2 linked regions of the Saccharomyces cerevisiae S288C genome follow. The protein of the gene in region 1 interacts with the protein of each later gene in a biochemical or structural test. Each region holds a gene or a part of one and is shown on either strand. Other genes may lie near its edges. The genes, in order: MED4 and SSN2.

What was found.
Region 2: the proteins of MED4 (region 1) and SSN2 form a complex in vitro, tested with the Saccharomyces cerevisiae proteins (one study listed by BioGRID).

Annotation. Positions count from the first base shown.
Region 1 is NC_001147.6:656,416-660,101, forward strand, and holds MED4 (Med4p), read left to right. Parts: upstream 1-2,331; coding exon 2,332-3,186; downstream 3,187-3,686. Other genes in the region: YRM1 (Yrm1p), read left to right, coding at 1-155; DCS2 (5'-(N(7)-methyl 5'-triphosphoguanosine)-(mRNA) diphosphatase), read left to right, coding at 849-1,910; ALE1 (lysophospholipid acyltransferase), read right to left, coding at 3,400-3,686. UniProt on the Saccharomyces cerevisiae protein: Component of the Mediator complex, a coactivator involved in the regulated transcription of nearly all RNA polymerase II-dependent genes.
Region 2 is NC_001136.10:1,348,227-1,352,157, forward strand, and holds the start of SSN2 (Ssn2p), read right to left. Parts: upstream 1,713-3,931; coding exon 1-1,712. Other genes in the region: YDR444W (putative hydrolase), read left to right, coding at 2,064-3,931. UniProt on the Saccharomyces cerevisiae protein: Component of the SRB8-11 complex. The SRB8-11 complex is a regulatory module of the Mediator complex which is itself involved in regulation of basal and activated RNA polymerase II-dependent transcription.

The sequences.
Region 1 (3,686 bases):
ATAACAGCGAAAACGCTTCGCATAACAATGAAACTGGGCCAATTGAGACTGAACTGGCACAGACAATATCCAACGAATTTTGGACGGCGTACAACCTTGGCTGGGAGGAACTAATGAGTCAGCCAGATTATAAATATTTATTTGATACGCAGTAGAGGAGAAGTTCTTTTACAAAAAAACATGCTTGCGACAGCAGCTAGATAGAAAACTTGCATATTGTAATGGAAGACAGTCGAGAGCAAGCCATTGGCTTGGACTTGCGCTTGGACCTATCTTTCGGACCAACTATTTAATGATTAGTAAGACAAAAATGACATTTAAGCATCTATAAAATAAGAAAAATAAAAAAATGAAGGGAAAAAGCTAAACACTAACTTCTTGACCAAACAAACAAGGAAAAGCCAGTAATTGCGTGAACAAAAGGCACCTGCAATTGTTCTGATGGATGTACTTTGTCCAACCTATTCTGCAAGAAAAAGAAATCAACTCCAAAGAAGTATGGAGCTTACTGGCACTCTAGCCTCCAAAAGCTGTTAAAGTGTTCATTCGATTGTCAAAAATCTTCCCCATAATAATCACCCACCTCAACAAAATACTTCCACTTAATTATTGATCGATTAGAGCTAGCGTCAGTGATTATATGCTAGTCCGAAAGGACAGCCCCATGACAGCGGCCGCGCAGACGCCTAGGGGGGAAATAAGGGGTGACAATACCAATGAGTATAAAGGCAGAAAGAAGAGAAACAGAAGCACGGGGGTTTCGTTTGGTCTTCAAATATATGTTAGGTCGGTACCTTTTCATTGCAAAATTGAAAAGATTTGAGCGTGTAAAAGTAAAAAAATACATGATGGGTTCCCAAGATTTAGCTAGTTTAATTGGGAGGTTTAAATACGTCAGGGTGTTAGATTCGAACCCTCATACAAAGGTAATCTCACTACTAGGCAGCATAGATGGGAAGGATGCCGTGTTAACTGCTGAAAAGACGCATTTCATATTTGATGAAACGGTACGTAGACCCTCTCAAAGTGGCCGTAGCACTCCGATTTTCTTTCATCGTGAAATAGACGAGTACTCCTTTTTAAACGGTATTACTGATCTGAAGGAATTAACTTCGAATGACATCTACTACTGGGGGTTGTCTGTTTTGAAGCAGCATATTTTGCATAACCCAACTGCGAAGGTTAACTTAATTTGGCCCGCCTCGCAGTTCCACATCAAGGGATACGACCAGCAGGATTTACATGTCGTCAGAGAAACTCCTGATATGTATAGAAACATAGTTGTGCCCTTTATCCAAGAGATGTGTACCAGCGAAAGAATGAAATGGGTAAACAACATTCTTTACGAGGGCGCCGAGGATGATAGAGTTGTTTATAAGGAATACAGTAGCAGGAATAAAGAGGATGGATTCGTCATCTTGCCCGATATGAAGTGGGACGGAATCAACATTGATTCGTTATACCTGGTCGCGATCGTGTACAGGGACGACATCAAATCTTTGAGAGATTTGAACCCAAACCATAGAGATTGGTTAATTAGACTCAATAAGAAGATTAAGACCATCATCCCCCAGCACTATGACTATAATGTAAACCCGGACGAGCTAAGAGTTTTCATTCATTATCAACCTTCATATTACCATTTTCATGTCCATATAGTGAATATAAGGCATCCAGGAGTAGGCGAGGAGAGAGGCTCCGGAATGACAATACTGTTGGAAGATGTTATAGAAGCGTTGGGTTTCTTAGGTCCTGAAGGTTATATGAAGAAGACGCTTACTTATGTCATTGGTGAAAATCATGATTTATGGAAAAAGGGCTTTAAGGAAGAAGTTGAAAAGCAACTGAAGCATGATGGTATCGCAACCAGTCCTGAAAAAGGCTCTGGGTTCAATACCAATTTGGGTTGAAGGTAGAAGAGCAGCACTATTTTTTCATGTGCTGAACTTCAGGAAGCGCCGGCTTATATAAATGTCTTATTTAAATGTTTGTGTATACATCTCAATGGATTTTGAATTTTAACATAGAATGCGAATGCACAGTAACATAGTACATTCAGTTGCTATTTTCCGTATAAGCTTTCTTTCCCTTATAGCATACATAGCCTTTGACGTATTGCCAGCCTTTTCAAAGAAATGCGAAAAAATAGTGCATTACCACCTACGTAAGGTAGGCTGGAGAAAAAGATAAACTTTTGCATTCTCTGCTCACCATACCGCGAAGGAAAGTAGTTATAACGTGTCCCGTTTTCAACAAGGTTTTCTGGTATATTGTTAACGGTGGAGAAAGCATCTAGTATCAATTACTTCCAGAGTACACACAACGAATGTTATGTCTGTCCAAGATACTAAAGCGGTAGAGTTTTCTATGGGTCACATCAGATCATCCTCTGTATCCCTGGTAGCAGAGGCTACTTCAAACACGAATAGTGAAGACAAATTATCTAAGGTCCAACTCTACGAAGATTTGTGCCGGTACGAGGATACATTGAGTAAGTTGGTGGAATCTGTAGATCGTTTCAAACCAAACCTTGATATTGCCAAGGATTTGATCAGAACTGATGAGGCCTTGTTTGAAAACGTCAAACTGTTAGCTGAATATGACAATATCTACCGCAACTTACAGAAGATTGACAAAGACTCTGAAGAACTAGATTCTAAAACCAGGAAGATATTGGAAATTCTAAATGAATGTCATGACGAGTTAAAAGCACTACCGATGCTTGAACAAGTAGAGTTCGAGAAAAACACAATTTTACAGCAAAGATCGAAAATCAATTCGACAGAGTTGTTGGATTATGCCACCAAACTCTCCAAGTTTACCAAAATACCACCAACGTTCGACAAGGGAGCTGTGGGACCCAACAATTTTATATGGCCCGCAGAGGATGCCCTACGAAGAGGAATGCTTGCTATGGCCTCATTACATAGTAAAGAGCTAACTAGAATACCCGGTGAAGAAGTAGAAGAAACAGAAGTACCGACCGTACCGCCATCTCAAAGTGAAGAACAAAAAGGGCAGATGGCCAAGAAAGAAGGTACACCAAAGACAGACTCGTTTATATTTGATGGTACTGCTAAAGAAGTTGGTGATGAGGCAGACAATACCAAAGATAAAGAAAAGGAAGAAAATAATGATGATGCCCTAGATCTTGATCTTGATCTGTTTGATCCGGACGACTTCTAGTTGCAGTGTCTTGAATCTCTTCCTCGTTAGGAATGAAGAAAAAAAAAAGTTAGACAATAATTCGTGTAGGTAAAAGCGTATATAAAATTACATATATAATTTACTGCAATATGTCAAAGTGTATGAAAAACATTTGAAAGTAAGTTCCCACAGGAACTGGAAAATAAGACAACAAGACTGTGACTTCCACACGCATCTGTCGTTTTTGGCCATCTACTCTTCCTTTTTTGAAATAGGCTTTGGTGAGTAACCACTAAAACTCATTTTTCTCACACGTTCACCTGATCCACTTGCAGCGTTAGAAAATTCCTGCTTGAATCTTTCAAAAGCTTTAGAAAGGTTTTCCTCTTCTATTTCAAGACCATTTTTATTTCTCCATTCTTTGTAATCTTTGCAGAAATCTTCCCAATCTTCCTTAGCATTGTCCCACTTTTCTAACTCAATTGGTGGAATACCTAAGTTCATTTCTTCTTCTTCTGCTGTCTTTCCCTTTTCATGTT
Region 2 (3,931 bases), on another chromosome or scaffold:
TTTCCATTTAATCTTTTTGTAGTTCCGCTCATCGTACGGATATTCGGTTTTTCAGATGAGGGAAAAAATGGAATATCTTTACCAAGATCAGTATGCATTTCCTTGTTATTTTTATTAATGCTTTTATTGTTATTATTTTCTTCTTCATCAGACATTTCGAACATATCCTCGGTAATTTCGTCCGATATACTTTTGTTCGATTCGTTTGTAGAATTCGATTTATTGCTATCGCCAAATAAATCCTCATCCTCATCCTCACCAAACAATTCCTTGTCTACCATAGAGTCACTTTTATCACTTGGCAGATTTTCGTTCTGTTCTCGTTGTTCCAGTGTTCCCTCTTTATTATGAAGTGTGTCTACGCTTCCTGTCTTGCTCACGGAATTATTTACCTTTTCGAGTGATCTACCATTTGCCTCCAGTTCCGTTTTCAGTGGGCTGTTCTCTAAGTCATTTGATACTGTAGTTTGTTTCCTATCATTAAATAATTCATTCTCATTGATGTTATTATTAGGGGTATTTAAGAAAGCTGGAGCAAATTGATCGCTGGGCGACAGCATTAATTTATCAATGCCTGTGAAATTAGGGGAGAAATCTTTCGGAGATATCTTATTAGTTTCTTGGACAGAATGATAAGAAGCGGGTTGAGAACTAATTGAGTTGTTCTTATAATGTTGAAACTGTTCTGTATATGCTCCATCTGAGCTTAAGGGATTTGTACCAGCAATATTACTGCTCAATACGCCGGAACTTCCTGGAGTCCTATAGGCAGCTGTTTGCTTTAATTGTATGAAATCATCAATGGCATCCAGAGCATCTTGCAAACAGTGAAATTCTGATGGATCTCCGGAAGTAGAATTTTCTATATCAGCTACTGGTTGGGCGAAGATTAAATGCAGCGGCCATACTAGCTTCTTTGCTTCAAGTAAGGGAGTTAAATACGAAGCTATAGTAGGTGTGTGGCCGTTGAGATGTCCTAAGTCAGGAACAACAGCAACCCATTTCAAATTTTTTTTATTTTGTAAGTTTATACCATGAGATACACTTAACGTCGTCAAGAGAAGTTCTGTATGTTTTGGTGGCGTTATCAAGTATCCTTGCTTGGAAGCAGGGGCCAAATGCATCCTTATTCCAGATGGTGCTAAATAAAGCGCATGCTTTGAAAGGAAAGATTCTTCCAAATTTTCCTCCTTCATTGGTACTAATCCCATGTTCTTGGCACATAACGACACTGTGAGATCTCCGTTTACAAAAAGGTGTGGTTCTAGCTGTACGAGATAATTTGGCACTCCGCTTAATGATATGCAGGCATTCCCAAATTGTATTAGCTTATTGTGTGAACCTAATGCCAAATTAATGTAAATTTTCCTTCTTAAAGCTTTTAAAAAAAGAGCATAGTGTGGCGGTAAGTTTGGCTTTGAATAATCGGCAGTGAAAGTTCCGATTTTATCTGGGCTCACTGGTTTATGTTCTATCGCAGGAGGTGTCGGTACCGGATCATCATTTATACTGAAACACCATAAATCCCTTGAAAGCAGCGCAACTAGAGTCTTTGGATCCTGCTTCCGTAGCATGAATTCCATTTGGATAGACCATTGATCGTTTTGGGCTTTAGAAATGTACTGATGATAGTTGATCTTTTTGATTTTCTCCACTCTATAGAAGCTGGATAAAACATCCTCAAGTCTGTACGTGGAAGCGTCAGAACTCATACTACCTCCTCAGATCTTGATATCCAGCTTAAACGTTCTTAAAATATAGTTACACCTTACTTCAACAAAGTAATTTCCGATTTCACACCATTCGTCTTAAAGGGTTGTTGTAAGAGTGTACTACAATAAATACTACACTACTTGATCCGGCACTACCCGGTCCCTCCACCTGAAAAAATGTTTCAATTCTTCGCTTTGTTAAGCGCGAATATATCGATGCTATTTTCTAAGGATTGTTTATTCAGTATGATAAAACAATGAACAGCAGGAAATGCGGAGGAGAATCACTTACTCGGCTGTTATTCATCTTCTTATTATAAAAGAATTGCTCCATTTTGGTTCGATCCCTTAATGCCTTACAAAATCAACCGAATGAAAAATTCGCTCGAGATAAATGAAACCGGAGGTACCTTATTGGTTGATGAGCGGAAGAGATTAAGAATAGGTGAGTTATATCGCTACAAGTTTTCCGTGAACAAAGATGTAATTAAGGAACAAGGGCTAGATGTATCGCATCTATTCTTGAGGATCAAGAACGAGGAAAGCGCGCTTCTGCGACCGCTTTATTTGACGGGGCCATATTCTTTTTACATCGATGTTAGGCCGCATAACTATAATGAGAATCGCAAGTTTCCAGGGAAGGAAATTATTCCATTTGTTGAAAATCTAAAGCCGGACGAAAGATTTAAAGTAAAAATATTATTGAATGAGAATTCTAGAGTTGGCGACACTTCTCTTTATTCATGGACAATAGATATAATTTCGCAGTTGGCGGTAACCACAATTCCGAAGCTGGAATTTTCGTTTAGGATAGGGACTACAAGGAAGGTGGTCAAGAAATCGAATGGGCTCTTTAAGAGTATTGAAGGTGTCTCTTTAGAGATGTGGGATACTGAAACCCTTTGGGATTTACCACCAAAATTTCCAGAAAAGCCTGTACATCTCGTTATTATGACACATGGTATATTTTCTAATATCGGGTGTGATATGCTATATATGAAAGATAAAATTGAAGAAATGACGTTTCCTATGGATGAGTCTATTAATCCGAATATAATTGTTCGAGGTTTTATGGGCAACGTCGGGAAATCAGGTCACGGTATACATTGCTTGGGCGTTAGAGTTGGAAAGTATGTGCTTGAGACTGTTGATAAGTTGAATAAAAAGTACAAAGTAGACAGGATATCATTCATTGGCCATTCCCTAGGAGGGCCAACTCAATCCATGGCGGTGCGTTACATAAGTATTAAAAGACCAGATTTTTTTGATGCAGTTAAAGGTGTTAAACCCGTTAATTTTATTACGTTAGCTAGTCCTTTCATCGGTGTTATTGGCGACTTCCCCTTTTATTTGTCTGTTCCACTGGATATGGGCGCGCTTGGTTTGACAGGAAGGGACTTGAATTTAAAATATACACCGTTAACGTCCAAAGATGGGTTGTATGCAGACGATGAAGTGTACCCAGAACATTCCAAGTACATATTAGAAATTCTTCCACAGGCGCCGGCTAAAAAAGTATTTGAGTCTTTTAAGAGGAGAACGATATATGCCAATGTCATGGATGATGGTATTGTTCCATTACGAACTGCTGCACTTTTGTATCTGGATTGGCGAAGCATACACAAAGTCCAGAAAATTAGGAAAAAAAATAAGAACTCTCCAACTTCAAGCGAGTTTGTGTCCTCCGATAGCCCAGAGAGTAGTGGAGCATCATCACCTTCAAACGAAAATGGTAACAACGTCGGGGAGATTCCTGCAGAAAGTCCAAACAAAAAAGCGACGTTGCAGTGGACTTTACCTCAGGCCGTTATCCACGGAAGTAAAATAAATAAATATAAGAGAGGACAAACTAATGAAGCCAACTCAGATTCGGATAATGAACAAGGAGTATTTCTTGATGGTCAAAAGTTCGAACCTCCAAAAGAAGCCAATACTGTATTGTCTGCATTATCGGTATTGACAGCTGCCATACCAGATCAGGAGTATATCAAAAACCCGGCTGTAAGGAAAGATGAAGTCATTCATGATAAACTTTATCACCCGGAAGAATTACCTCCGCCGCATTATGAGAATAGGCCTATCGTTAAGAAGCTTATATATCCTAATGAGAGTGTCAACAGGATTCAAGAGCGCATTGCTAGAGAATGGCAAGAAACGATGACTTGGAGAAAAGTATTAGTGCAGATCCAGCCTGATTCCCATAACAATATCGTAGTAAG